Linked DNA regions of Macaca fascicularis. The protein of the gene in region 1 purifies or fractionates together with the protein of each later gene. This does not show direct contact. Links are inferred from orthologs where the notes say so. Each region holds a gene or a part of one and is shown in the gene's direction. Other genes may lie near its edges. The genes, in order: RNPS1, HNRNPC, GPATCH8, SREK1, MAGOH, SRPK1 and U2AF2.

Region 1 (4,329 bases):
GCACACAGTCAATCCCTCCACAAATAATCAAAGGGCAACGACTACCTAACAGGCACAGCAGTGAACAAAACCCGGCCGGGGGCGGTGGTTCACGCCTGTAAAGTAATCCCAGCACTTTGGGAGGCCAAGGCGAACCTAGGAGCGAGCACTTTTGGAGCGAGCCTGAAAGCCTAGGAGCGGATCACGAGGTCAGAAGTTCGCGACCAGTCTGGCCAACATAGTGAAACCCAGTCTCTAATAAAAATACAAAAAATTAGCCGAGTGTAGTAGTGTGTGCCTGTAATCCCAGCTACTCGGGAGGCGGAGGCAGGAGAACCGCTTGAACCCGGGAGGCGGAGGTTGCAGTGAGCCGAGATCGCACCGCTGCACTTCAGCCTGGGCAACAGTGCGAGACTCTGTCAAAAAAAAAAAATTCCGCCGCGTCAGTGTGGGGCGTTGACGCGGAGCCTCCTGCCTGGGCCCCTACAGCGTCACCCCCTCCTCTGTGCCTGCCAGAGGCGCCACCTCTGGACTCTCCCAGAGTCGGACCCTGGTCGACAGTGTTCCCTGCTCGGACCCTGCACCGGCCGTTAGATGAAGCCTCGGCGCTGCGCCGTTCACACGCTCCGTGCTGCCTCCACTGAGAATTTGGCGCGGGCCTGCGAGCCTGTGCCCCGGCCTCCCTTCCCTGCTTCCAGCGAACCTCGGCGTCTGCTGTTCCCCCGCCGGGCGCGCCCTTCCACTCTAGTCTCAGCGGCAGTGTCACCTGCCCGGAGACGCCCCCCGTTGCACCCCATCTCCCATCCTCAAGCTCGTTGCTCTTCCTGCCCGCACAGCCCGCCTGCAGCGCCCACCCTGGAGGTCCGCCTGCGCGGAGGCCGCGTCCACGAGAGCACCCCAAACGCCACCAGTGGGTTTTGACCGCAGGAACGCAAGTCCTGCCCCAGCCCGTCTCTCCGAGCTACTTCCGCCCTGCAGGCCCCCACGCCCCGCCACGCAAGGCCGCAAAGGCTGCGCACCCCTCCTGTGCGACCACCCTGCCGCCCTCAGCACAGCCGGGCCTGGAGCCCCGCCTCCACCGCCGGCGACAGGGGCCAGAATCGGCCCGGGCGGGTCCAGGGAGCCCGCGCAAGGAAAGGGGCGGGGCACGGCCGCGATAACACCCTCCGCTCCGGACGACGAGCATCGGTTATCGCGCGGCCCTCCCAGGCTCAGCAGGCTACCCATGTGCTCGCTCCAGCAAGCGTGCAGCCAGTCCGGTCAGTCCCAGGGACTTTACCGGCGAGGAGACACCCTGAACGTCCCCAACGCGGCTACCACAAACTGCCTTGACTGTCTAACACTTCCCCGCCGGCGCCCATTGGGCCAGGCGTTTACGTCATCGCTACGCGCCGGACGGCGGCGTCTTCCCGCTCCTTGACTCTGACGTCAGAGCGGCGCCGGCCTCGGAGGCTGAGGAAAGCAGGAGGAGGTGGTGGCGGCGGGAAGATGTAAGTTGGGGCGGAATCCGACCGCATCCGTGTTTCGGGGGCTGCCCGTCAGGCCCGGCAGGACGCATCGTGAAGCCGGTCCACTTCTCAGCCCCGCAGTGCGGCGGTGGCCTGGCAGCGCGGTGCGGGCTCCGAGAAGAAAGAGTGTGGCCCGGGGCGGGCGGAGTGGGAGGTGTCGAGGCCGTGGCCCGGAAGTGATCGGGGCCGCCGCGGACGGAAGGGCGCCTCTGCTTCGTCCGCTCGGCGGTGGCCCAGCCAGGCCCGCGGGACTCGGAGCAGCGGTGAGCGCGGCCTCCGTTCTTGGGGCCCTCCCGCCGGGCCGGAGACCCAAGCCCCCAACGCCAGGCGCTGCCCTGGAAGCGCTTGCGGCCCGGCGCCTGGACGGGGAAGTTGTGAGTGAACGCGGACGGGGAGCGGCGAGGTCGGCGTGTCGGGCCGGTGCCGGCGGGCGCGGAGTTTCTTTGTGGGATGCGGTGGAAGGTCGGCCGATCCATCCTTCGGAGTCATTAATTCAAACGTGTACTCCGCGAACGTTTCCCGGACTCCCGTGTGCAATTGTCGGCGCTAGGCCGTGGGGATACGGCCCACTATGGACCGAACACGGTGTCCGAGCTCAGTTTGATGGGTTATCCCAGAGGGGTGGATACGGGAAGGTTAAGGTTGATGGAGGAGAAACGTGGAGTAGGCTTTTTGTCTTGATTTCTCATGAACTGTGCCTGAAATGTACTCTTAAATGGGGAAGGTGCTCTGAAGATTTATGCCGAAACGCCCTCTCCTCGAGATTTAACTAATTGTTCTCTCCTCTCTCTGGCTGTTGGACGCGCACCTTTCCGGAGGATGGGGGAGGTAACCGAGGTCCTGAGCCGGTACCTGAACTTGGGTGAACAGAGAACCTCAACTTTTGCTTTCTAGCACTCGACCGCACCCAGCGAGCCGTCCGCTTACTCAGTGGTTCTTAGTGTTTGGACTGCTTGAGAATAACTGGTGGTGTTTGATTCCACAAAGTACATTTGGGCAGATCTTTAAGTCTGGGGGGGTGGGGCTGAAATCTGCGGGTGTGACCTCCACTCTAGGTCTGTGCTGTCCAGTGAAGTAGCCATTGGCCACATGTGGCTACTAAGCATGTGAAATACAGCTCATCAAAACTGAAATGTTAAAACACATACCAGTTTTAGAAGACTATGAAAAAAAAGTAAACTTTTATTAGTAGATTTTTATGTTGATTATATGTTGGAAAGATAATATTTTGGATGTGTCAAGTGTTAAAAATTTCACCCATTTTTGTGATGTGGCTACTAAGGAATTTCAGGTGATGCTTGTGGCTCCTCACACTGTTTCTATTGGACATTTCTGCTGCAGGTGATCCTAAGGCAGATGAGTGCAGGAACCCTGCTGAGAGTTCAGAAATTACGTGTGACTTTGGAGACAAATGTCTGGGGGAGGGAGGAGCCTTTACAAATCTTGCTCCTAACATTATTGAGCTTTTCATTAATGCCCTGGGTAACTATAAAGTTGGAATTGTAATTGTCACCATATTGATAAGAAACTTGAGAAAGGTTAAGTGACTTGTCGAAAATTACACCGTAAAACCTCAAATCAAACCCAGGCCCTCTGGTTGCAGACTCTGAATTATACTCTGAATGATACTCACTGACTGTCCGAGGACACCAACAGTGTCGAGGCACTATCTGCTGGGTGTCTGCAGAACCTTACTATTCTAAAGCAAAACATGATACCCCCGGACAAGAGCAGCAGAGGTGGTGTTCGGCCCTCCTTGGCTCATTTGACTGTTTAAAGCCAGGTGCTTTTCTTTCTTGGGTCAGAACACGTTTTCAGCAGCATTTTGAAGCACCCCTGGCAGGTACTGCACAGGGAAACCAGGACCCCATTGGTGTGCTGTGTCCTCCTTACCAACTGGCTCTTGGAGAAGGTGAGACAGAAGTAGCTGAGACTCACATCCTGAGAGCTGCACTTAACAACTCCTGCAGCTTGTGCAGAACTTTACTGGAAATACTGAAGGCGTCCCTGGAAAATAGGGCCCATAACTAATTAGTTTGCTTTTGAGTAATGAGTAACCGCTATTTGAACACATTCTGCAGTCCAGGCATTTTGCTAAACTCTTACATGGCAGGCAGTCTCTCATGCAATTTCAGTGCCTACTTTTTTTTCATCTTATTTTTGAAAAATTTTTAAAGCACAGGAACGTCAAATTATACAATTAATACCCACATAAAGACTACTTAAGGGCCAGGTCTGGTGGCTCACGCCTGTAATCCCAGCACTTTGGGAGGCCAAGGTTGGCAGATGACAAGGTCAGGAGTTGGAGACCAGCCTGGTCAATATGGTGAAACCCTGTCTCTACTAAAAATACAAAAATTAGCCAGGCTTGATGGCAAGCACCTGTAGTCCCAGCTACTCAGGAGGCTGACGCAGAAGAAACGCTTGAACCCAGGAGGTGGAGGTTGCAGTGAGCCAAGATCGTGCCACTGCACTCCAGCCTGGGTGACAGAGCAAGTCTCCATCTCAAAAAAAAACAAAACAAAACTCAGAGGTTAAGAGTCTGTAAGTTATATTTCTGCTGTATTTGCTAGATGGTTTTTATCAATCTTAGTTTTTCTTTCAATCTTAGTTTTTCTCAATCTTAGTTTTTCTTTCAAAGTAAATTGCAGACTTGCATGTATTTTCCCCTACACTCAATATGCATATTATTAAAGTACAGTGCAATTACTGCTTTTTAAAATGATTCTTCTGCTTTTTAAATGTTCATATGGTACGTTTCATCTGTTTGCTTTTGGGTATTAAGTGTTTTAATGCTGGTACCAGTCACTTTTGAAATGATTTTTGCTTCCAGTCACATCCG
Region 2 (3,757 bases), on another chromosome or scaffold:
GGCCCAGCAGGCGGATCACCTGAGGTCGGGAGTTCGAGACCAGCCTGTCCAACATGGAGGAACCCCATCTCTACTGAAAATACAAAAAATTAGCCAGGGATGGTGGTGCATGCATGTTATCCTAGCTAATTGGGAGGCTGAGGCAGGAGAATCGCTTTTACCTAGGAGGCAGAGGTTGCAGTGAGCCGAGATTGTGCCATTGCATTCCAGCCTGGGTGATAAGAGCGAACTCCATCTCAAGAAAAATAATTTTAAAAATCCAAAATAATGGAGGAGACGAGATTGTGACTGAGTGGCCAATTCTAGACTGCAACAGCTAGGTGATTTGAAAGATGTCATTTGACTTTATTTAGTTGAGGTGTGTGTTAAGTTTCTGAGGGTTTTTTTGTGGGTTATTTAAAAACTAAAATTCAGATAGTGTTCAATATATTGATTTTTAAACTTTTCTGTATTGAACTCCTGTAACTGGAAATATGGAAGGCAGTAAAACAACAGAAGGTCTGATGCAGTGACTTACGCCTGTAGCCCCAGATGCTTAGGGGGAGGCTAAGACCCTGGGGATCTAGGCTGTGGTGGGAGGATTGCATGAGGCCAGGAGTTCACTGTGATCATACCTGTGAATAGTCACTGCACTCAGAACTGGGCAATGTAGCGATAACCCAAGTCTAAAAGATACTAAAAAAAAAAAAATTACAGTAAGTAGTTATAAGCTTTATAGTAGAACCAAGGGCCTTTATTACAGGGAAATCTGTACTGGCTCTGTTTCTCCCTGGGTGCTCCTGATGTAGTCTAGTGCCAGTGTATTTGCTAACTCATATCTTCTGTACATTTGATTTTAATCCATTATTTTGTTTATGTTAAAGTGAAAGGAGATGACCTTCAGGCCATTAAGAAGGAGTTGACCCAGATAAAACAAAAAGTGGATTCTCTCCTGGAAAACCTGGAAAAAATTGAAAAGGAACAGAGCAAACAAGCAGGTAAATGGGTTTTCTGCTTGTTGGGTATATAGTTGGGTTAGTTACGTAAGGCACTTTAAAGTATATGTTGGAATAGTGGAATATAAAGCAATGTAATATGAAACTTGGGGAGTGTGAATTGGGAAGGGTATTTGTGTGGGAGGATTTAGATTTGTGCTGCAGTTCTGTGATCCTTAGTGGGGATTGTCTACATCCTGTGGACATTACTGCCCCTAGACAGACTTGTCCTTCTCATCCCCAGTAGAGATGAAGAACGATAAGTCAGAAGAGGAGCAGAGCAGCAGCTCCGTGAAGAAAGATGAGACTAATGTGAAGATGGAGTCTGAGGGGGGTGCAGATGACTCTGCTGAGGAGGGGGACCTACTGGATGATGATGATAATGAAGATCGGGGGGATGACCAGGTGAAAACCACGGGAAAGGAAAGAAAAAGGTGGTGGAGGGGGGCTCAGGGACACATGGAGTGCCTCTAACTCCATCCTATTTGTGTCTGTTTCTCACAGCTGGAGTTGATCAAGGATGATGAAAAAGAGGCTGAGGAAGGAGAGGATGACAGAGACAGCGCCAATGGCGAGGATGACTCTTAAGCACATAGTGGGGTTTAGAAATCTTATCCCATTATTTCTTTACCTAGGCGCTTGTCTAAGATCAAATTTTTCACCAGATCCTCTCCCCTAGTATCTTCAGCACATGCTCACTGTTCTCCCCATCCTTGTCCTTCCCATGTTCATTAATTCATATTGCCCCGCGCCTAGTCCCATTTTCACTTCCTTTGACGCTCCTAGTAGTTTTGTTAAGTCTTACCCTGTAATTTTTGCTTTTAATTTTGATACCTCTTTATGACTTAACAATAAAAAGGATGTATGGTTTTTATCAACTGTCTCCAAAATAATCTCTTGTTATGCAGGGAGTACAGTTCTTTTCATTCATACATAAGTTCAGTAGTTGCTTCCCTAACTGCAAAGGCAATCTCATTTAGTTGAGTAGCTTCTGAAAGCAGCTTTGAGTTAGAAGTATGTGTGTTACACCCCCACATTAGTGTGCTGTGTGGGGCAGTTCAACACAAATGTAACAATGTATTTTTGTGAATGAGAGTTGGCATGTCAAATGCATCCTCTAGAAAAATAATTAGTGTTATAGTCTTAAGATTTGTTTTCTAAAGTTGATACTGTGGGTTATTTTTGTGAACAGCCTGATGTTTGGGACCTTTTTTCCTCAAAATAAACAAGTCCTTATTAAACCAGGAATTTGGAGAAAAAAAACCCTGGTTTTTTATTTTTGTATTTTATTATTGTTTACTTCAAACTTTGTTTTACAGCGTCCTCCACAAAACCTCTAGAATGTACTAGATACATTTTTCTTGGAGTCATAATCATGATACATACCAACACAACACTACTCAAATTATATTTCATTGAGTTGCATGTTGCATTGAGGAGTCAAATAACTTGACATACAGTGGCGATTGTTTTTCAAAATGGCTTTTACATCCTAATGAAAGTTCAGTGCTTTGTGGTCCAACTGGCACCCTTTTTGAGGTTTTTGTTGTGTGCTAAATTGCTTTGTCCTTAAATAGGAGAGACTCAAAAACAAGATTTCAGGAAAATTGCAACAGCTGGACAATGGAACTCCCTGCTTTCTTCTGTTTTGTTCTTTTAATTACTATTTATAGCCTCAGTTACCTTCTGAATTCTGAAGTGTATATCTCCATGTTACTGAAAACGAGAAAACTCTTATTTCCTGATACTCCACAGTCTTGCCTTCCCAGGTGATTGAGAACATAAAGAATGTTACATTTATTTTACCCTAAATGATCTTTTACCCCTATTAGCTGATCTTTGTGTTTTCCCTCAACTTTATTAATTACAGTTATTGTATTTTTAGCATCCAGTCTTACTTAAAATGAATATATTAAACAGCTACCAGTGTTGTGATACCTCATCCTTGAAAGGCTTAATTGATTTGTGTTTTAAACTTCAGTTTTTCCAGCACAGCAGAAAATGGCGTTTATAATTTTTGTGCACACAAACCTTGGATTCCCCTATAAAGTTGCTATTGTTTCATAGCATGCAGCACTGGCCTTTTTTCATCCTACTCATTACAGGCGAAACTCATGTCTTATTTATAAGGATTTTATAGATCATTTTCTATATCAGGTGACAAAAGCAGAAAAGAATGAAGAGGCTGAACTATGAACTACCCTTGGAGCCCATATACATGATATAGGCAATTTCTTTTGTATGTTAATTCAGTCAAAAATACTACCCACTTGATGTTTTCTGATCTGATGTGAGCTCATGTTACATAGACTTTTAGTAAGTAACCCATGACTAGAAAATAAACTGGATGCTTAGGAGAGAGTGTCAGATGTATAAGATGCTAATAAAACATGTTTAATATTATGTTGTTAGCTGTAAGTTTTTGGGAAATACTGGAAAAATTAGTCCACAATCAAGTGTCTACTTTTCACTTCACTGTAGGGCCTCTTTCCCCGCACAGAGCAGTCTATTTAGCTGTGAATACCACAATCTGCAGATGCTCAAGTCCCTTACATAAAATGGCATAGTATTTGTATGTAACCTATGCATATTCTCCTGTATACTTTAAATCATCTCTACATTAAAATACCTGATAAAATGTAAATGGTATGTAAATAGTTGTAACTACTTTTATTTGTATTGTTACTTTTTAATTTTTTTTTCTTTACTAGTATTTTCGATCTATAGTTGGCTGAATCTGCATGTGTAAAACCCACGAACACGGAGGGCCAACTATACATTTA
Region 3 (3,757 bases), on another chromosome or scaffold:
GCAGTCTGTCCGCCTTGGCCTCCCAAAGTGCTAGAATTACAGGCATGAGCCACCGCGCCCGGCCTGTACTTTATTTTATTTTATTTTTTTTGAGAGGGAGTCTTGCTCTGTCACCCAGGCTGGAGTACAGTGGTGTGATCTCGGCTCACTGCAACCTCCATCTCCCAGGTTAGAGTGATTCTCCTGCCTCAGCCTCCCAAGTAGCTGGGATTACAGGTGCGTGCTACCATGCCCAGCTAATTTTTGTGTTTTTAGTAGAGACAGGGTTTCACCATGTTGGCCAGGCTGGTTAGGAACTCCTGACCTCAAGCAATCTGTCCACCTTGGCCTCCCAAAGTGCTGGGATTACAGGTGTGAGCCACCACACCCAGCTTTTTGTACTTTAGACAGCTTAAGAAAAAACAGTAATAACTGACTGGCCCTGGGAATTTGGCAGGTTAACAGAATGAGTCTTTGTCTAACCTCCTCTGAGAAAGTCGCGTTTGTTAGTATAGGACTAGGGAATATGACCACCACTCACTGTCTTTGAGACCTACCTATAATGAATGATAGGATATAAGAGATTAGTATTTTATAAGGTTTATGGAATGTAGTCCTAAACCTGCTTTTTCTTTGCTTTTTATTTTTCTAAAATGTCATGTAGTGCACCTGGAAGTGGTCCCATGTTCAAACCAACCACAGTGGCTGTAGATGAAGAAGGTGGAGAAGATGATAAAGATGAATCAGCTACAAATAGTGGCACAGGTGCCACTGTTTCTTGTGGCCTGGGATCTGAATTTTCCACAGATAAAGGAGGCCCTTTCACTGCAGTACAAATCACTAATACCACTGGACTGGCCCAGGCTCCTGGGTTAGCCTCCCAAGGCATCAGCTTTGGCATTAAGAATAATCTGGGGACCCCATTGCAAAAATTGGGAGTGTCATTTTCTTTTGCCAAGAAGGCTCCTGTCAAACTCGAATCAATAGCATCAGTTTTCAAGGACCACGCGGAGGAAGGGACCTCTGAAGATGGAACAAAACCTGATGAGAAGGGTTCTGACCAAGGACTGCAGAAGGTAGGAGACTCTGATGGGAGCAGTAATCTTGATGGTAAAAAGGAGGATGAAGACCCTCAGGATGGAGGGTCCCTTGCCTCAACATTATCCAAATTAAAAAGGATGAAGCGAGAAGAAGGAGCTGGGGCTACGGAGCCGGAATATTACCACTACATCCCCCCAGCACACTGCAAAGTAAAACCTAATTTTCCCTTCCTACTTTTTATGAGAGCCAGTGAACAAATGGAAGGTGATAATAGTACACACCCAAAGAATGCCCCAGAGAGTAAAAAAGGCAGTTCTCCCAAGCCTAAAAGCTGCATCAAGGCGGCAGCAAGCCAAGGAGCAGAAAAGACAGTTAGTGAAGTCTCTGAGCAGCCGAAGGAAACCAGCATGACCGAGCCCTCAGAACCAGGAAGCAAACCTGAGGCAAAGAAGGCCTTAGGAGGGGATGTAAGTGATCAGAGTTTAGAGAGTCATAGTCAGAAGGTTTCAGAGACCCAAACGTGTGAGTCCAACTCTTCTAAAGAAACCTCTCTGGCCACCCCAGCAGGGAAAGAAAGCCAAGAAGGACCCAAACATCCTACTGGTCCCTTCTTCCCAGTTTTGAGCAAAGATGAAAGCACTGCCCTCCAGTGGCCATCAGAACTATTAATTTTCACCAAGGCAGAACCCTCCATTTCATACAGTTGTAACCCTTTATATTTTGACTTTAAACTTTCAAGGAACAAAGATGCCAGAACTAAAGGGACAGAAAAACCAAAGGATATAGGAAGCTCCTCAAAGGACCATCTCCAAGGCCTAGATCCTGGTGAGCCAAATAAAAACAAGGAAGTGGGCGGAGAGAAAATAGTACGTTCCTCAGGAGGCAGAATGGACGCACCTGCTTCAGGGTCTGCCTGTAGTAGCCTGAACAAGCAGGAGCCTGGGGGTAGCCATGGGTCTGAGACAGAAGACACAGGGAGAAGCCTTCCCAGCAAGAAAGAACGATCTGGGAAGTCCCACCGGCACAAAAAGAAAAAGAAGCACAAAAAATCCAGCAAACACAAACGTAAACACAAGGGTGACACAGAAGAGAAAAGCTCTAAGGCAGAGTCGGGGGAGAAGTCTAAGAAGCGCAAGAAACGAAAACGAAAGAAGAATAAGTCATCAGCCCCAGCAGATTCTGAACGAGGACCCAAACCAGAACCCCCTGGGAGTGGCAGTCCTGCACCTCCAAGAAGGCGGCGACGAGCTCAAGATGACTCCCAGCGGAGATCCCTCCCAGCTGAAGAGGGGAGCAGTGGCAAAAAGGAGGAAGGTGGGGGTGGTAGCAGCTCCCAAGACCATAGTGGGAGGAAACACAAAGGTGAACTTCCGCCTTCATCCTGCCAGCGAAGAGCAGGCACCAAACGAAGCAGCCGGTCTAGCCATCGGAGCCAACCCAGTAGTGGAGATGAGGATAGTGATGATGCTTCCTCACACCGACTGCACCAGAAGTCTCCATCCCAGTACAGTGAGGAAGAAGAAGAAGATTCAGGCAGTGAGCATTCCCGCAGCCGCTCAAGGTCAGGCCGGCGCCATTCCTCACATCGTTCTTCCCGGCGTTCTTACTCAAGTAGCTCAGATGCCTCTTCAGACCAGAGCTGCTATAGTAGACAGCACAGTTACTCAGATGACAGCTACAGTGACTACAGCGACAGATCACGAAGGCACTCCAAGCGCTCCCATGACTCGGATGACTCAGACTATGCCAGCTCCAAACATCGATCAAAACGGCACAAATACTCATCTTCTGACGATGACTATAGCCTCAGTTGCAGCCAGTCCCGAAGCCGATCTCGGAGTCATACCAGAGAGCGCTCAAGATCCCGGGGCCGCAGCCGAAGCAGCAGTTGTAGTCGTAGTCGGAGCAAGCGGAGAAGCCGTAGCACCACAGCCCACAGCTGGCAACGGAGCCGGAGCTATAGCCGGGACCGCAGTCGCAGCACCAGGAGCCCTTCCCAAAGATCAGGCTCCAGGAAGGGATCATGGGGTCATGAGAGCCCTGAGGAGAGGCATTCTGGGCGTCGGGACTTCATTCGTTCTAAGATCTACCGCTCCCAGTCCCCCCACTATTTCCGATCAGGCCGGGGAGAAGGTCCTGGGAAGAAAGATGATGGCAGAGGAGATGACAGTAAAGCAACAGGTCCACCTTCCCAGAACAGCAACATTGGCACAGGAAGAGGGTCAGAAAGTGACTGCAGTCCTGAAGACAAGAACTCTGTTACTGCCAAACTGCTACTGGAGAAGATTCAGTCAAGGAAAGTGGAGAGGAAACCTAGTGTGAGTGAGGAGGTGCAGGCCACCCCTAATAAAGCTGGGCCCAAGCTCAAGGACCCCCCACAAGGTTACTTTGGGCCCAAGCTCCCCCCATCTCTTGGCAATAAGCCTGTCCTTCCACTGATAGGGAAGCTCCCAGCTACCCGAAAGCCCAATAAGAAATGTGAAGAGTCTGGCTTGGAAAGGGGGGAAGAGCAAGAACAGTCAGAGACAGAAGAGGGGCCCTCAGGGAGTAGTGATGCCCTATTTGGGCATCAGTTCCCTTCAGAGGAAACAACTGGCCCCTTATTAGACCCACCCCCAGAAGAGCCAAAGTCTGAAGAAGCTACTGCTGATCACCCTGTGGCTCCACTAGGCACCCCAGCACACACTGACTGCTACCCTGGGGACCCAACCATCTCCCATAACTACCTCCCCGACCC
Region 4 (4,455 bases), on another chromosome or scaffold:
TCTCCCTCCTCCCACCCTCCACCCTCAAGTAGACCAGTGTCTGACGTTTCCTTCTTTGTGATCGTGAGTTTTTTGTGTATTCAATCTGTTGTGATATGTTTTGGTTGAAATATATGGGGGAAATCTGATCTCAAAAAGATAAGGTGTTGGAAAAAGGAAAACTATTTTATAGCCTTTCCAAGTAGTTCTAGATATTATTCTTTGATACTGTACCAAACTTACATGTGGTAGTTTCTTAGCCTGCATTGCAGTGTGGACTGAATCTGAAACCACTTCAATTAAGTACTGAAATCCAACAGTCTATCTTGCACATACCAGAATCTTTTTGCCTTTGTAACGGCACCCACTGGCCATTTGAATAATAGGTGTCCACTAAGTTGTAAAAATCACAAAAATGTTGACATATTTCATTATATAATGTCAAAAATAAATTGTTAATATCATGCTTCTCTTACTAGAAAAGTCTCTAAGTACTGGAAAGCTGTCAAGCTTAAGTTGGTGGATACAAGTGTAACAAAATTTGTATTTTCCCGTGAAAATTCAGAGCTACACTAGTGCTTTTTCCGGAGACAACCATTTCACTTGGGCATGTAGCGGCAGTAGTTTCCATTTTTTCACACATATTCTTTAAAAGACGTGTATGCAAGGATGGATTTGAAAATATATATATAATTTTTAGTTCTTTATGAAGGACATTTTTAAAGTGAAACTAGCATATTTTAAAACCTGAAATGTTGTATGATGTGAAGAATACAAAATGCAACTACCAGTACAGACTGGCGCCACTGCCTTGATTGCTGTTAAGGTGTCAGCAGTTTAATCTTTCACGTTACTAGTGCAAATGTCAACAAAGTGAAAAAGGTCAACAAACTCTTAATATTATTATGAAAATCGTTTTGACCTTGCCAACCCACTGAAAAGGTCTCGGTACCCTTAGGGATCTGCGGAGGGCATTTTGGGAGCAGCTGCCCTGGACTCACTACTGTTGTCTCTCATTAGTTTGCAAGTTCTATGTGAACTGTCTGTAACGTGCCCTTGCCTCATAGTGCCTGGGACATAGTACTCAATAAACATCAATACCTGTGGAAAGAGCGAGTAAATACAGGTTATAAACCTTCATCTTACTGCCTCTTTCCTTAATTCAACCTGAACCTACACATTTTGTAAAATTTTGTTTTTTTCACAATTAGGACGCTTGCCAATTTTTTTAAATAGTTGGAGTTGGGGTGCTGCCTGTATGTGATAAGGATGCCCTATAGTTTGGTCAAGTGTTTTTCTGTGTTACCCAAGAGTCATTCCTCCTTTACAGTCCCGCACCAGCAGGCCAGGCCGCTTGGTTTCCCAGTCCGAGACCGGAAGGAACCGGGTAGACAGGAGCACAAGATTCGCATCGACTTTTGGGGAAAACAAAAACACCGAAAAACAAAACACTCGCGGAGAAACCAGCAGCAGCAACAGCCCCAGGCACCCGGGAGCAGGAAGCCGCAGCCCCGCGAGACCCGCCGGGTTGCCGGGGCGACGCTTCCGGCTGGCGCGCGCAGCCCCGGGAGCAGGGGAGTTGTGAAATGGGCGGCTAGATCTGCCCGGCGCTGTGAATTCGCCAGCGGGAGCGCGCTCGCGGCCGCGCGTTCTCCGCTTTCCCGGTTCCGTCGCTGACGCGTCGTAGACGTTGGGGAGCGGGAAGGCAGCGGCAGCGGGGTCGGGATGAACAGCGGCGGCGGCTTCGGTTTGGGCTTAGGCTTCGGCCTCACCCCCACGTCGGTGATTCAGGTGACGAATCTGTCGTCGGCGGTGACCAGTGAGCAGATGCGGACGCTTTTTTCCTTCCTAGGAGAAATCGAGGAGCTGCGGCTCTACCCCCCGGAGTAAGTGCTGGTGCTCGGCTGGGGGAGGGGCGCGGGCGCCATAGAGACCTCGGGAGCCGAGGCGTGGGGGAGAGCGCGGACGCGGGCGCGCGGTGCGTGTCACGTGATCGCCCGGGCTTACCTTAGTGCCCATATTTGATTACGGCACCGAGTTCCGCCGTCCGGCTCTCCTTACTAGTCGGATTTGGGGGGTTAACTACTGCACGGAGCCCTTACCAAGGATTTAGAATGGTTGCCCTTTCCGTGCCTCCGGGACTTGTGTTAGCTCATGGGTCTTCGAATTCCGTGCCCCCTCCTCCTCATTTCCCCCCGAACTTAAGATGGCCGCAGGTGGGCCCGGAACAGCCTTATGGCAAACGCCTCATCGCGTTTTTGCACTCTGAAAATCGCGGGGACCGCGCGTGAGCCACTGTCCGGTTTTTAAGGCCTTGGTGTCAGGCCGTTTTGCTGACGAGAAAGCCTGCTGCTGATGACAAGATGGAACTGGGGCTGTATTTGTTTCCCAGGACGGTCACACAAAACTTAGCATCTTGATTTATCTAACCGAGCGCATCCATGTTCCCAAAGATATGTCTGTTCGCCGTTTTGGCAACAGATTAAATTTTTCTCCTGAAAGGTCACACTGTCCCAGAGCTTTCAGAAAAAGTGTCAGTCGGTGCAGGGTTATCCCTGCCGTATACATTTAAAATCCAGATCTTGGCTGGCATTCACGGCTCGCGGCCACTTCCCAGATGGTGTATTTTGGAATGGTAAAATTTCCCTCGTACGATATTATCTATTTAGAAAACTCGCAAGGGGTTTGCAGGTTGTTCACATTCTTGCACACATAAACATTTTTTTTTTTTGATAGTAGATCTTACAGTATTAAGATCCTCTGTTTTTTGTTCGTTATATCAAAATCCTTTGAGGGAAGGGGTAATTGTTACCCAAGATTTCTTCCTTTAAAAAAGAAATTGATTTATTTCCTAGTGATGCATTTAGACCTGTTTTTCTTTAGTTTTCTATCTTAGGTTATAACAGTGCTGCTGCATAGCTATGTAAAAGTTGTGTGGTTATTTTTTACTTTTTAAGTTTTTCTTGTCTGCTTTTTGTTTTGGAATATTTCATCCATACAGAAAAGTTGAAAGAGTAATACATTGAACATCCATGTTCCCTTCACGAGCATTTTGTCTTTTTTTGGCTACAGTTGATTATTAAAATTTCCCCAGTTATTCTAATAATGCTTTTTTGTCTGTTTTTGATGTAGTATATAATTAGATATACTGTCTCCCTTGAATATGCCAAGTAATCCACGTATTAATAGTTATCTCCTTTAATCTGGTACAGTCCCGTCACCTTTTAAAACATTTGAAAGTCGTGACATTGACATTTTGTTCTGTAGTTCATTTTGTCTTGTAAAATGACCCATAATCTGAGTTTATATAGATGAGATATATAGAGATATGTGCATATATATCTCTCTCTCTTTATATTTCTTCATGACGAGATTCAGGTAGTACATTTTTGACGAGAATACTGCATAAGTGCACGCACATACATTTTGATTGATTAACCATGGCATTATTGCTTTAATTAACTTTTGGAAATGCTTTCAGCCATCTCAATTTAAGCTCTCAGAACATTTCTTAATAATTGAGAATTATTTGGGGTGAGTGCCGTATCCTGCAGGCATTGGAATCAATCAGTAAAATATTTTGTACATGAACCTTTGTAAATCTTGCTTTCAAGGCTGTGGTAATATGGTATCTCATAGGTAGAAGAAATACATTGCAGAATGTTCTTCATTATCAACATAACATTTATTTGGTTGAAACCTGGGTTTGGGTGACAACACATTACCAGTTATTAACTGACAGTAATGGGCTACTTTTTTGAAATCAGGTGTTATTACTTGGAGTTTAAAAGTCAAAGAGAATAAAAAGTACTTAAACATATGGAAGATTACGGTAGTGTGTGTCACAAACTGTAACACATAAAACAAAATTATTGCATACATGTAACATATATGGGCCAGGCAAAATCCTTAACTAGTTTTTCCGTAAGTGCAATACTAGATCCCTCATTCATGTTTTAAAGCAGTATTAACATGCTTTATTCACAGGTTTTCTGCTTCGTAATGAAGTTGTCATTGCCTGGTCCTTATATTAGAAGACGTGTTTGCAGATTTGGACCGAAATGGATAAAAATTGCAATAGTAGTAGTTGTATTGAAAATATATTGTTTTACAGTGTCACATAAATTATTTTATGACATCTTTAGAACCGAGTAGAAAATCGTTTTAAAATTGGAAATATATTCATATATTTATTTGCATATATATATTTCCAAGTATATTGGAAATACAGTAATAGAATGTGAAAATAGTTTCTCATTTAAATTTTATGATTGAGCCAGGTGTGGTGGTGTGCACCTATAGTCCTAGCTACTCAGGAGGCTGTGGTGGGTGAAAGCATAGCTTGAGCCCACGGTTTGATTCCAACCTGAGTAACATATTGAGATCCCTATCTCTTAAAAACAAAAAATGACTAAGTTGCTAATATGAAAATTCAGATTTTAAACTTAATTCTTTTGGCATGATGCAGTGATTGAG
Region 5 (4,374 bases), on another chromosome or scaffold:
TGGCTCATGCCTGTAATCCCAGCACTTTGGAAGGCTGAGGCGGATGGATCGCCTGAGGTCGGGAGTTTGAGACCAGCCTGGCCAACATGGTGAAACCCTGTCTCTACTAAAAATACAAAAATTAGCTGGATGTGGTGGCACGTGCCTGTAATCTCAGCTACTTGGGAGGCTAAGGCAGGAGAATCACTTGAACCCAGGAGGTGGAGGTTGCGGTGAACTGAGAACCAGCCGTTGCACTCTAGCCTGGGCAACAAGAGCAAAACTCTGTCTCAAAAAAAAAAAAAAAGACTGGGGGTAGGAATCAGAGACTGCTGTCCCGACTTACAGAATCTTATACTGTTCTAGTTGCCAGGCCCCAAGAATGATGTCATCTCAGCACTGTCTCTAGAACCATTCATTCTCTCTAAGTGTGGAACTTAGACGAGTGAGAGCAGGCTCCTATTAAATAATTATGATCTTGATTGCTCTGGCCCTACTCAACTGTAAATTTTTTCCAGAGCCAGAATGGCTTCACAGAGGACAACTTTGCTCTGAAAAGAGTCTCTTTGGTCAGTGGTCCTCAACTGAGAGCTTTACAAAGAGTACCAATGCCCAGTTCCAGCGCTGGAGATTTTAATTGGCTTGGGGTAGAGCCCTGGCATCAGTATTTTTAGAGGCTCCCCAGGTAATTCCAATGTGCAGCCAGGCTGAGAATCACTGCTCGGTAAGTGGGATGACTGGGGAGTGGGAGATCAAATACTCTAACTTCTCACAGCACCTATTCTAGAGATCAGTGGGGCAGAAAGATAGAAATAAAAGGTGGAAAAGGACGAAATGGGTAAGTGTGGGTGAACTAGTTCCAGGGAAACGGCAATCTCCACTGTGGATTCAGGGAAGGCGTCACTGAGGAGGGCTTTCTTAACAGTTCAGGTCAACGGAAGCCATCTTGAGGCACACACATCGTGCGCGGCATCCTCCGGGAAGGTCGGGTCATTTCACCCCATTTTACTGCCGAGATGACCTAGGTCCAGAGACGGTAAAGAGCGGTGTACGACTCACACAAGTCGGGGGTCCTGTGAACTGAGGTTGAGCCTGGCGGGGGCAAGGCTCGGGGTGTTCGGTCCGAGATCTTTAAGCGAAGTCACCAGACCCCGCGTTCAAAGCCCAGAGGTAGGCAGGCGGCTGGCTCTCGGCCTCAGGCCGGGAGAGAACCCAGCGGGTACCAACCTCAACCTCGCTCCCGCGTCCAAGTGGAGAAGCGGAGCTGGTTGGCCCCGCCTCCGGGTTAAACAAAGTTCGTTACCTCCTAGGCGTGAGAGGGTGTGGCAGTCTTGTTGTCACTTCCGGGCGAATAGGTTAGCTAGAAGGAACCCCTCCATTACGCGACGGCGTAATCTGACGTCACTTCCGCGCGCCGCCGCAAACGTCAGTGTCGGGCGCAGACCGCAGCAGTGCGGCTTGCTGTTGGAAGTTCAGGCTCGGTTGTCTTTTGGGAGCCATGGAGAGTGACTTTTATCTGCGTTACTACGTGGGGCACAAGGGCAAATTCGGCCACGAGTTCCTGGAGTTTGAGTTCCGACCGGATGGTAAAAGCAGCCTGCCGCCCGCCCGGAGCGGGACCAGGCCTTGGGGCGGGCGAGTGGGGAGGCCGAGGGTCGGAAATCTGTGGGGAACTAGAGGAGGAAGGGGCTGAGACCTGTGCAGTGCGGATCTGAAAGGAGCGCCACTGTGTCTGCTCCACGGCGTCGTTTTATCCATACAACAAACGTTGGCTGAACGCCCACTGTGTGCCAGGCTCTGTTCCACTCTTTGGGGATACGACAGCGAAGATAGACAAACTTCCTCTCTCGTGGAACTTGTGTTTTACTGCTGGGAGAGAGATCATAAAAAGATGATTCCGGATAGCAGTGAGTGGTCAGAAAATATGGTAGAATCGCTGGATGGGCTGCTTTTAGATAGGTTGGCCATTAGAGAGCTCTAATGGTATATTGCAGCTGAGCCCTAATTAGCAAGAAGGACCCAGCCTTGTGAAGCTCACAAGGAAGACCATTCTACCCAAAGGGAATACCAGAAGTCAAGGCTGCAGGGCGGGAATGAGCTTAGGCATGTCTCAGGTGGTCAGTGTGATTGAAGAGTGGTGAGCTGGGAGATGGCAGGAGATGATGTCGGATAGGTAGTAGGAGCCGCACCTTGTAGATCTTTATAGACCAGGGTAAAGAGTTTGGACTTGGAAGGCTTTTTTAATTTTATTTATTTTTTTTTTTGAGACGGGTTTCGCTCTTTTTGCCCAGGCTGTAATGCTATGGCGCGATTTCGGATCATTGCAACCTCCGCCTCCCGAGTTAAAGCGATTCTCCTGCCTCAGCCTCCCGAGTAGCTGGTATTACAGACACCCACCACCACGCCCGGCTAATTTTGTATTTTTAGTAGAGACAGGGTTTCACCAGGTTGGCCAGGCTGGTCTCGAACTTCTGACCTCGGGCGATCCGCCGGCCTCGGTGTCCCAAAGTGCTGCGATTACAGGCGTGAGCCACCGCGCCTGGCCGGGCTTGGAAGGTTTTAAGCAGAGAAGAAATGTGATCTGTTCTTGAAAAAGCATTCTGGTTATTGGGTGCGGAATGGGCAACAGTGAAAACAGGGCTATTGATTAGGAGACTGTTGTCAAGACAAGAAAGATGTTGGGGGCCAGTCGCAGTGGCTCACGCCTGTAATCCCAGGACTTTGGGAGGCCGAGGTGTGCGGATAACTTGAGGTTAGGAGTTCGAGACCAGCCTGGCCAACATGGTGAAACCCCGCCTCTACTAAAAATACAAAAATTAGCCGGACGTGGTGGCAGATGCCTGTAATCCCAGCTGTTCGGGAGGCTGAGACAGGATAATCGCTTGAACCTGGGGCGGAGGTTGCAGTGAGCTGAGATAGTGCCAGTGTACTCCAGTCTGGGTGACAGAGCGAGACTGTGTCACAAAAAAAAAAAAAAAAAAGATGTCGGTTGGGACTACAGAGATAGTAGAAATGGAGAGAAAGATTTAGGAAACTGTTGGAGGCAGAATCAACTGGACTTTGATCGTTGATAGGATTTTTTTGGCGGAGGCACTGTGGTGAAGGAAAGAGGAATCAAAGATGACAGAAAACATCCATTAAGCGGGCCACAAAGATGTATCTGACAGGCCCCGACTGTGAGGGAGATGGATTTGTAAGCAGGGACCAAACAGCGTATTAGGTGTTGTGGTAAAAAGAAACAGAGGAGACTTGCAGCAGAGAAGGGGCACCTAGCCAAGCCTGAGGGTCAGAGGAGGCTTCCTACATAAAATGATGGGAGGAGGGGATGTGAGGTATTGATTAGGAGACCAAGAAGAGTCAAGAAGGCATTTTAGACAGCATGCAAAGAGGCTGAAAACCAAAAAGTGCTTGGGATGTTTCAGGCAGAAACCAAGTTGTTCGACTCCAGCTGTGTGAGAGAAGAATATTGCAGGAGTGAGGCTGGAAAAGCAGGCAGGGGCTTTGCTTAGCCGTATGCCATGTTGAGGAGTTTGGATTTTTTTTTTTTTTTTTTGAGATGGAGTCTTGCTCAGTTGCCCAGGCTGGAGTGCAGTGGCGCGATCTGGGTTCACTACAAGCTCCGCCTCCCGGGTTCACGCTATTCTCCTGCCTCAGCCTCCTAGGTAGCTGGGACTACAGGCGCCCGCCACCACGCCTGGCTAATTTTTTACATTTTTAGTAGAGACGGGGTTTCACCGTGTTAGCCAGGATGGTCTCGATCTCCTGACCTCGTGATCTGCCCGCCTCGGCCTCCCAAAGTGCTGGGATTACAGGCGTGAGCCACCGCGCCCGGCCGGATTTTAACCAGGAAGGCAGCGGAAAGCCATTGACTTTATCAAAGTATTAGAGTAACCTAATCTGATAGATCTGTTACCACATCACCTTGTCCACTATATGGACAGTGAACTGAATGTGAAGAAACTTGAGGCAGAGAGACAGCACAGAGACTGTTGGAATAAATTCACTGGGCTCATCTCACATGTATGTCTTCTAGTCTACATGTCTTCTGTTTCCTTCTATCTTCTCCTCATCCCCACCATGTATTCACATTAACCTGTTAGACGCACACATGGACAAAGGGTCTTGTGTACCAAATGTGCTCAGTGATAAAAGCAACAACTTTTCCATCACAGAAATAGAGTGTGGCACAGTCACATGATAATATATGTAAACAGCATCCTACAGTTTTCAAAATGTTTTCACAACTCATTTGAGCCTCAGGAGGTCCTATGTGCTGGTAAGTTATCATTTACTCTGCCTGTTTTCAGGACATTCACCTGCAAAAATGTGATTCGACAAAGTCAGAAAAGAGCCTGCCTGTGTTTTTACCTCACCTGAGCTGCTTTTTGCAGTAGT
Region 6 (3,757 bases), on another chromosome or scaffold:
CTCAGCCTCTCAAGTAGCTGGGATTACAGGTGCCCACCACCACACTGGGCTAATTTTTTGTACTTTTAGTAGAGATGGGGTTTCACCATATTGGCCAGGCTAGTTTCAAACTCCTGACCTCAGGTGATCCACCCACCTCGGCCTCCAAAAGTGCTGGGATTACAGGCATGAGCCACCATGCCCAGCCTGCATGTTAAGATTTAAGAGATTTCATAGAAATTAAAAAAGTTTATGATAGAAAAAGCCAGATGCAAATTTGTTTATATAGTATGTGATTACAGATAAATATTTTTATGAAGATACAGCAACATAGTGGAAGAAGATTCAGTAGTTTATCAGTGATTATGTTTGGATATTGAGATTCAAGTAATTTTTCTCCTTTGTACTTTTTAATATTTTTCAGATTTATCATGTACTGAAGTTGTAAAGTATTTTTCTAACATGAGGTAAAACTACAGCTAATGTTTTCCTAGGCAGCCACTTGGTAATACTCTGTTCGTATTATCTGAAGATTTAGTTTTTTGTGGGGAGGGCGGCATTTGATAATGTCTTATTTTCTTCTGTCCAAATGGAATGGGCATTTTTGTATCATTTCTTAGATCTGAAACTCAGCACCGAGGCTCTGCTCCCCACTCTGAGAGTGATCTACCAGAGCAAGAAGAGGAGATTCTGGGATCTGATGATGATGAGCAGGAAGATCCTAATGATTATTGTAAAGGTAAGTTCATAAGGAGGTATGAAGTGAGACATGATCCATCTATTTGCAGTTTCTCATTTGGATGTTTGATCTATCAGCATAAACACAGTTTTATTGGTGTTTACTTGTATCCTTTTCTCTAAAACTTAGGAAATAGTATTTGTTCTTAGTCTGACTTAATTTATCAAAGCCTGATTTTATATTAAATGTTTTTACCTTTTTCCTCTTTAAAAGTTATAATACATATTTACCTTAGAAAATTCCAGAGCTGTGTTAAACAGAAAAGAATGTAAAAGCCTTCTGCAATGCTATCAACCACATATAACCATGGTAACATTTTGGCATATAGATTTTTACAAAATACCTTCTTACTACTTTTTTTCTCATAGTGATGGCTGTTAAGTTAAACTGGAATTACAGACACTTAAATGGTGTCATCAGGTTGCCTGTTACCTTTTCTGTTTCTTGATGAGACTTTCCGGAGTCTTTGGGTAGGAACACAAAATGGAATGTATCATACCATCTAGGAGAAGAACGTGGCCCTTATTGTCAGCTGGCAAAGATAAATATGAAAATACCTTGATTCTTGCCACTGTTGGCAGCTTTTTTGAGGCCTTCCTCTGTTTTCTGCTTTTTAGGGTTTTTTTTGTTTTGTTTTTTGAGACAGAGTTGCCCAGGCTGGAGTGCTGTGGAGTCTCAGCCTACTGCAGCCTCTGACTCCTGAGTTCAAGCGATTCTCATGCCTCAGGCACCCACCACCACGCCTGGCTAATTTTTGGGTTTTTTTGTTTGTTTTTGTTTGTTTTTTGTGTTTTTGTTTTTTTGTTTTTGAGAAGGAGTCTCGCTCTGTTGCCCAGGCTGGAGTGCAGTTGGTATGATCTCAGCTCGCTGCAACCTCTGCCTCCCGGGTTCACGCCATTTTCCTGCCTCAGCCTCTAGAATAGCTGGGACTATAATCGCCTGCCACCATACCCGGATAACTTTTTGTATTTTTTCAGTAGAGACGGGGTTTCACCGTGTTAGCCAGATGGTCTCGATCTCCTGACCTTGTGATATGCCTGCCTCAGCCTCCCTGCTGGGATTACAGGCATGAGCCACCTCGCCTGGCATTTGTTTGTTTGTTTTTGTTTGTTTTGAGACAATCTCACTCTGTCGCCCAGGCTGGAGTGCAGTGGCACGATCTCAGCTCACTGCAACCTCTGCCTCCTGGGTTCAAGCAATTCTCCTGCCTCAGCCTCCTGAGTAGCTGGGACTACAGGCACGCGCCATGACACCAGCCAATTTTTGTATTTTTAGTAGAAGACACGGTTTCACCATGTTGGCCAGGCTGGTCTCGAACTCTTGACCGCAAATGATCCACCCTCCTCAGCCTCCCAAAGTGCTGGGATTACAGGCGTGAGCCACTGCACCTGGGCTATTTGTTTTTATTTAGAGGAACAAAATCCCGTTTGCTTACTTGTTTTTGTTTGTTTTGTTTTTTGCTAAATAATTATTCTGTCTCCTAAAAAACACCTGAGACTGTAATTATAAATAGATATATATTAGATATATATGTTTAGATAAACTTACTGGATTATTGAGAGACAAGAATATTGTGATATACAACCTTTTTATTGTTTTTGGATGAGCCTGTTGTAGGCTCAATCTAAATCATTAATCTTATTCACTTTTTTTATAACATGAAGTCAGTAATACTATGTGGCTGATTTGACTATTAAGGCTTTCTTCTGTTGAATTGATTGTATAAAAGAAACTTTTTGTTGATAAAAGGTATATAGATGTTGAAAAATGTGATGTAAAAATGCCTTTTCTTACCATTGTTTCTCGTCCTGGTTTTTCTGATTTCCCCTGTGTCTTCCAGGAGGTTATCATCTTGTGAAAATTGGAGATCTATTCAATGGGAGATATCATGTGATCCGAAAGTTAGGCTGGGGACACTTTTCAACAGTATGGTTATCATGGGATATTCAGTAAGTTTTAGTGGTTCTGTAAAAAAATTAGTTAGATGATGTCTAAATATGTTTGTCTGAGTTTCCACTGCTGATCCAGACTTCAATCTATCTCTAGCCTGATACATTTATCAGAATTTTGTTGTTGGCAATAGTCTCTATATTCTTGGAGAAATCACTTTTCTTTCGTGAAGAATCGGTATTATATATCTCCCTTTCTACTTTAGAGACAAGAGTGATTAAATTAATGCTGGTAAAGCTTTTGTCGTTTGATTTTTTTGTTATTTTTATCGTTTTCTTTTCACCCAAATATTTCTTCTGGCTGCCTGTGGGAAAATATTACAGCTATTAACCTTTTAGTTTTTGCCTATATACAGATACACAGAACACTTGGAATTTGGTAATATCTTTCCCCTTATTTATCCTCATTTTGAAGTTTTGCTTGAAATTCAGGGAGATATTCAAAAGAAGGATTTTAACTCAGAGAAAATGTTCAACAACTGAGATTATCTGAGAACAGATCTTTTATTCTTCCTACAAATGAAATCTGGCCAGTTAGCATCATTAACAAGTACAAATGTTCCCATAGAAGTAGCTTGTTTGGGCTACAGGGAAACATGAAATCAGTATTTGTCCTTTTTAACCATCTTATAGCTAAACCTTAGCTTCCTAAAGTAAGGGTAGGCTATGTAGTCTTAATTGCCTGTGTTTGTTTCTTAGGGGGAAGAAATTTGTGGCAATGAAAGTAGTTAAAAGTGCTGAACATTACACCGAAACAGCACTCGATGAAATCCGGTTGCTGAAGTCAGTGAGTATTAGATTATATGTATGAATGCAAAGAATTATAAATATATCAAGTTTCATTGAATTAAAGCACACCAAGTGGAGACTCCTCAGCATGGATAATTTTCTCTATAAAGTTCTAGTATCCTTAAAGAGGTTAAGGAAGACAACAATATTTACACATTCCATGCATGTAGTAGGGAACTGGTGGGAAATGCTATGATTAGAATTATTACACACATGAACCAAAAAAAACCTTTCAAATGAATAAAAATATTCACTGAGCATGTTTTACAGGCCAGGTAACTACTGTCATAATGTTTTTCTT
Region 7 (4,548 bases), on another chromosome or scaffold:
ATCTCTACTAAAAATACAAAAAATTAGCCAGGTGTCCCAGCTACTCGGGAGGCTGAGGCAGGAAAATCGCTTGAACCCAGCAGGCGGAGGTTCCAGTGAGCCGAGATCTGGCCACTGCACTCTAGCCTGGGCGATAGAGTCTCCGTCGCAAAAAAAAAAAAAAAAAAAAAGTAAAAAGCGTAAACGCTACCCGCTGGGCTACCCGGACCAGTGAGTGGCGCGAGAGGCGGGACTCGATGACCTCGAGCAGGGGAGGCCACCCAGCGGCCAGGCCAAGTCTGGGGGATTCTTCCGTCCGGCCGCCAGGGGGCAGTAACGCCAGATCATCTGTCTCCCGGAAGGACTGCGCGATCATCCATCTGTTGCGCCTGCGCGACGGGAGGGGCCGGAGCGCGTTGATGCGGTTGCCAAGACAACCAAGAGGGTGGCCGGATTTAACCGTTGGGGATTAAGCACTTTCACTCCAGGAAGGGAAAATCTCGCGCACGCGCAACGGGGACTGAAACCTGGTCCCCGCAACCCCCTTCACCGGAGCAGTGGGAGAGCGCGCCACAGAGACACTTACGCAGGCGCAGAAGCCTGTTTCCCCCTCACCCGCCGCTTCCACCCTGCGCAGGCGCAAAAAGCCGCGCTGGCAACCTCCGCAGCGGTCGCGCGCACCGTTCACCCCTCTTGCTGCTTTTGTCTCGCGCAACCTTCTCAGGCCCTCCGCGAGGCCGGTCCTTTTTTTCTTTCACTTTCCCCACCCGGAGAGCCAGGTGCTGAGAACCGGTACCTCGTCTCCTTCTCTGTATCCCTTCCCCTGACCCACCTCGCCTCCGTCCTCCCTCCCTTTTCCGTTCCCGAAGCCGGAAGGAGCCGAAGCACCCACGAAAAAAGCCGAAGCTGTCCCCGGAGAGTGAGGCCTTCACGAAGCGGTGGCGGAAGGAGCCGAAGTTCTCTGATCTGCGGAGTGAGCAAGTGGCATCTCCGGAAAGAGCCGAAACTTGGACTCGAGCTTAATCCCAGGAGGGGCCCGAGGGCGAGCTCCGGAAATCTCCGGAAAGAGCCGAAGGCCGGGACGGTTAGGATTGTCGGAAGTGGCCGATTGCTTGGACAGGGCCGGCGGAGAAGATCGGAGGAAATCCGTGGAAGCAGCCAAAGACTGGGACGGATTGAATTGTCGGAAGAACCCGAACTCGCAGAGGGGGCTGGGCGCAGTGGAACACGAGGACACACGGAAACCTCCGAACGTTGAGGAGATAATTTTGGAAAAGTTACGGAAACCTGGGAAGTCGGCGAAACCCTACCTTCGGGTGTTTTCGGAAGCAGTCGCAGCTGCCATCTGCGTCTCCTTCGTCCAGTGTCCGGAAATAGCCGACGCGCTTCGGAGCCAGGCTCGGGGGGAGGGGCAAGCTCGCGGGCGGGCGGGCGGGTGAGGGGGCGGAGCCCGGGCGGGTGGGGAGGGCTGCCGGAGGCTTGATTAGGTAGGAGGTGGCGAAGCGCCGGCGGCGGCCGGAAGTAGCCGAAGCCAGCGGCGGAAGTAGCCGAAGCGGCCGGAGCGGGCGGCAAGGCGAGGCGAGAGCTGCACAGGGCCCTACGCGGCCGCCTCAGCATGTCGGACTTCGACGAGTTCGAGCGGCAGCTCAACGAGAATAAACAAGGTGAGGGCGCCGGGGTCGCGGGGCGGAGGTGTGGGCGGCTCCTCGCGTCGCTCTTTGCCCCCCCGCCATTTTCTCCCTCGCTTCCCCCCACCTCTCACGGCCGTGCGACCCCCCCCAACCCCGGTTCCGTGGCGCGCGCCTCGTTCACGTGACATCCCCAGCGTTCGGCCGCGCGCTAGGCGAGGGGAAGGGGGCGGCAGGGCGCGGGCCCATGACGCATGCGCACGGCGGCTGTCCCCGTGCCCCACGTGGTCCTGCCGGAGGTGGCTCGGGGGACGCGGCGCGAGTGCGCCAGGTACCTCGACGTGAACTTTTGTTTTTTAAAATCTTTTTGTATTCTCTGAAAAGGAGATTATGTTAGGCCCCGTAATCCGTTCTTTTTCTCCCGCTGCCTTGGCACTTCCGCTTCCGGTCGGGCCCACGGCCGCGTCTCCACGCCCCCTTTGTTTCCAAAATGGCGGTTGTGAGGACTCGGGGGGGCCCCCCTTTCCCTCCTTCACGTGGATGAGGACAGAGCTGTTTCGGGGGACTCTTGGAGGCCACGAGCCCGTCTCATACCCCTTTTCCTTTTTGCTGATTTGCTGCGACCTCTTCTGCCAGGTGGTTTCTGCCCCGTCTGTTGGTAGTGGGGCGCCTCATATTAACGTGTTGGGCGCATGTTCCCTGAAGCATCTGCATTCTTTGAGTGTCGGCACGCACACATCCTGCATATGCGGAACTTTTGGCGGTCCCGAGAATCGCGATATGGAGTGTTTGAGACAAACCGCAAATCATGTAGGATCCCAAACTCGGGGCACCTGATAATACTCAGCCTCAGATCTCGATGTAGAGATAAGGAAACAGGTTCTGAGGGAGGAAGAGGGATCTGGCCCACTGCGCTAAACTCTTCACTTAACGGGGAAGGTGGGAGGCAGGTTCCTTTCAGGGTATCGAGAATGTGATGGGTGAGAACAAAAAGCGTGGGGCCCTGCTGATCTTAGGGATTCCGAGAATATTAGAAGTGGGAGAGTTGTTCCATGTTTCAGTTTGAGAGTGAAGAAACACAGGACTAGGGAAGGTTGGGGACTTGTTTCATTTCTTTTGAGGCTTCAGCTGCCCATGATCCTAGGTCGTTCGGAGGACGAAATGAGGGCTAAGGAATTTTCCTTTGAACCCAGGGGCTGTATTAGGAAACAGTGCCCTGGGGAAGAAATAACGTTTACTGAGGGTCTGACTCTGTCTTAGGTGATGGACTGTTCAAGAGCATAGGCTTTGGAGTTGAGCACATCAGGGATTTAGATACTTGCTTTGTTGGTTAGTAACTACTTTTAATACGTTTATCTTTCTTTTTTTTTCCTATTTGTAGACTGATTATTATTTTTTCTCACTCGGTTTTGAGAAGATTAGTAAGGATTATAGTAACGATAGGTGTAGTTAAACTCTGAGCGCTTATGTGTGCCAGGCTCTTCGCTAAACTCTTAGCGTGATTTTATTTAGGGGATCCTTGTAACAGCCCTGTGAGGTCAAAATGATTTCCACCTCTACTGGGGAGGAAACTGAGGGCTCAGAAAAATTAAAAACTTTCTCAGGGCTCAGCTAGTCAGAGGCAGAGCTGAGATTAAATGGGGTAACGTAAAGTGTGTGGCATGTGGCTTGGTGTACACTAGGTGTGCAGTAAGCGATATTTGCAATTGTAAAATTCCATGCTTAAAGAGGAGGGTCTTCCACTCACAGAGATTGTGTCACAGTTGGGAAAGGGCAGGAAAAGGTGCTTTCCAAATGTCATTCTGTCACACAACACCTGAGTGGAGTAGATGTGACCCTCGTTTACAGAGAAAAAACCAAGTCTTAAAGGTTAAGTTGTTTTTGCATGGTTTTTGTTGGTAAGCAGAAAAGCAGGTACTGATTCTGAGCTCTGGCTGGCTGCAAGGCCAGGTTCCACTCTGCTGGGCCACCAAGTGGAGCTGATCGGGCCGTTCTTTGAGGCTCTCAGATGGTGCTTCACTGGTTCTCCCGGGGTTTCCCCCTTGGTGCTGATAGGGCCCTCCCTGAGACCTGGCACGGCTCCTGGGTTGCCGGAGCTGCTCCCATAAGATGACCACAATACAGTGTTTTGAGCAAATGAAGCTCTCTTGGTTTTTACCTGTCCAGCATCAGTGTGTGGGAGAGGGTTCTTGTCATAGGGGAAGCTCTGCCCACGTGTCACTCTGCCTGTGGGTCTTTGTGGAGGACGCATCAGCCTCTGTACCTGTCGGCTTCTGCTTCAGTCCCTTCCTCTGCTACCTGTGTCGATAGGGAATTTCCTTGTCTGTGTCCCAGGCACCCAACGGGCGTCATTGCTTTCTCTGCGTGGCTTCCTCTCTGCCTGCTTGCCTGTTTCAGAGCCTTAGCAGCAGGAAGGGCTCTTGGGGCTCACAGCCTGTCCATCTTACAGGCGTGGAGTTGTGCCCAGTGCCGTGCCTGCGTGCTTACCCTGCTGCTCTGCACTGCTGGCCTGTCCTGCCAATTGTTCCTCCCAATTTCAGTTTTTGATTTTGGGGTTTTTGGCCTTCGAGGGGACAATTATATTGTCATTAGTGGTTCTAGCCAGACTTGAGTGTTCTGCCTGATCCACATTCAAGAGTATGACTTGGTGCCTAACTCACTGATGTTTTAGTGTTTACGTTCTGGTATCACCATTTCCTAGCTGTCTGGCCTTGGGCAACTGTGATCTCTCTGAACCTTAGTTTTCTACCCATTAGGTCAGCCCCCCGCAGCGTTTTTCCGAAACAGTAGTGAGGATTAAGAACAAACAAAGCTATTTAGTACAGAAGCATCTCAGTATTTGTTTCTGTTTTTTTCCCTTCTGGGTGCATATTTTTCTGAGTGTTGGTGGTTTTGGAATTGTGATGCTTTTCCAAACATTCAAATTGCATCACAAAAACAT

The links.
Region 2: the proteins of RNPS1 (region 1) and HNRNPC purify together in Homo sapiens (co-immunoprecipitation; 3 studies listed by BioGRID and IntAct, with this or other methods). This does not show direct contact. The link is inferred for Macaca fascicularis from reciprocal best matches to the Homo sapiens genes RNPS1 and HNRNPC.
Region 3: the proteins of RNPS1 (region 1) and GPATCH8 purify together in Homo sapiens (co-immunoprecipitation; 4 studies listed by BioGRID and IntAct, with this or other methods). This does not show direct contact. The link is inferred for Macaca fascicularis from reciprocal best matches to the Homo sapiens genes RNPS1 and GPATCH8.
Region 4: the proteins of RNPS1 (region 1) and SREK1 purify together in Homo sapiens (affinity purification with mass spectrometry; 3 studies listed by BioGRID and IntAct, counting the BioPlex papers as one, with this or other methods). This does not show direct contact. The link is inferred for Macaca fascicularis from reciprocal best matches to the Homo sapiens genes RNPS1 and SREK1.
Region 5: the proteins of RNPS1 (region 1) and MAGOH purify together in Homo sapiens (co-immunoprecipitation; 3 studies listed by BioGRID and IntAct, with this or other methods). This does not show direct contact. The link is inferred for Macaca fascicularis from reciprocal best matches to the Homo sapiens genes RNPS1 and MAGOH.
Region 6: the proteins of RNPS1 (region 1) and SRPK1 purify together in Homo sapiens (co-immunoprecipitation; 5 studies listed by BioGRID and IntAct, counting the BioPlex papers as one, with this or other methods). This does not show direct contact. The link is inferred for Macaca fascicularis from reciprocal best matches to the Homo sapiens genes RNPS1 and SRPK1.
Region 7: the proteins of RNPS1 (region 1) and U2AF2 purify together in Homo sapiens (co-immunoprecipitation; 6 studies listed by BioGRID and IntAct, counting the BioPlex papers as one, with this or other methods). This does not show direct contact. The link is inferred for Macaca fascicularis from reciprocal best matches to the Homo sapiens genes RNPS1 and U2AF2.

What each region holds. Positions count from the first base shown.
Region 1 is NC_088394.1:3,040,582-3,044,910, reverse strand, and holds the start of RNPS1 (RNA-binding protein with serine-rich domain 1), read left to right. Parts: upstream 1-1,409; 5' UTR 1,410-1,467; coding exon of another isoform or gene 1,468-1,469; 5' UTR 1,470-2,661; exon of another isoform or gene 2,662-3,399; intron 3,400-4,329. UniProt on the Homo sapiens protein: Part of pre- and post-splicing multiprotein mRNP complexes. Auxiliary component of the splicing-dependent multiprotein exon junction complex (EJC) deposited at splice junction on mRNAs.
Region 2 is NC_088381.1:88,872,778-88,876,534, reverse strand, and holds the end of HNRNPC (heterogeneous nuclear ribonucleoproteins C1/C2), read left to right. Parts: intron 1-863; coding exon 864-977; intron 978-1,218; coding exon 1,219-1,379; intron 1,380-1,478; coding exon 1,479-1,562; 3' UTR 1,563-3,377; downstream 3,378-3,757. UniProt on the Homo sapiens protein: Binds pre-mRNA and nucleates the assembly of 40S hnRNP particles. Interacts with poly-U tracts in the 3'-UTR or 5'-UTR of mRNA and modulates the stability and the level of translation of bound mRNA molecules. Single HNRNPC tetramers bind 230-240 nucleotides.
Region 3 is NC_088390.1:65,460,610-65,464,366, reverse strand, and holds part of GPATCH8 (G patch domain-containing protein 8), read left to right. Parts: intron 1-643; coding exon 644-3,757.
Region 4 is NC_088380.1:71,862,984-71,867,438, forward strand, and holds the start of SREK1 (splicing regulatory glutamine/lysine-rich protein 1), read left to right. Parts: upstream 1-1,627; 5' UTR 1,628-1,704; coding exon 1,705-1,865; intron 1,866-4,455. UniProt on the Homo sapiens protein: Participates in the regulation of alternative splicing by modulating the activity of other splice facors. Inhibits the splicing activity of SFRS1, SFRS2 and SFRS6. Augments the splicing activity of SFRS3.
Region 5 is NC_088375.1:181,434,148-181,438,521, forward strand, and holds the start of MAGOH (protein mago nashi homolog), read left to right. Parts: upstream 1-1,407; 5' UTR 1,408-1,477; coding exon 1,478-1,565; intron 1,566-4,374. UniProt on the Homo sapiens protein: Required for pre-mRNA splicing as component of the spliceosome. Plays a redundant role with MAGOHB as core component of the exon junction complex (EJC) and in the nonsense-mediated decay (NMD) pathway.
Region 6 is NC_088378.1:135,782,536-135,786,292, forward strand, and holds part of SRPK1 (SRSF protein kinase 1), read left to right. Parts: intron 1-571; exon of another isoform or gene 572-573; coding exon of another isoform or gene 574-599; coding exon 600-718; intron 719-2,558; coding exon 2,559-2,667; intron 2,668-3,366; coding exon 3,367-3,454; intron 3,455-3,757. UniProt on the Homo sapiens protein: Serine/arginine-rich protein-specific kinase which specifically phosphorylates its substrates at serine residues located in regions rich in arginine/serine dipeptides, known as RS domains and is involved in the phosphorylation of SR splicing factors and the regulation of splicing.
Region 7 is NC_088393.1:63,608,499-63,613,046, forward strand, and holds the start of U2AF2 (splicing factor U2AF 65 kDa subunit), read left to right. Parts: upstream 1-1,518; 5' UTR 1,519-1,594; coding exon 1,595-1,643; intron 1,644-4,548. UniProt on the Homo sapiens protein: Plays a role in pre-mRNA splicing and 3'-end processing. By recruiting PRPF19 and the PRP19C/Prp19 complex/NTC/Nineteen complex to the RNA polymerase II C-terminal domain (CTD), and thereby pre-mRNA, may couple transcription to splicing.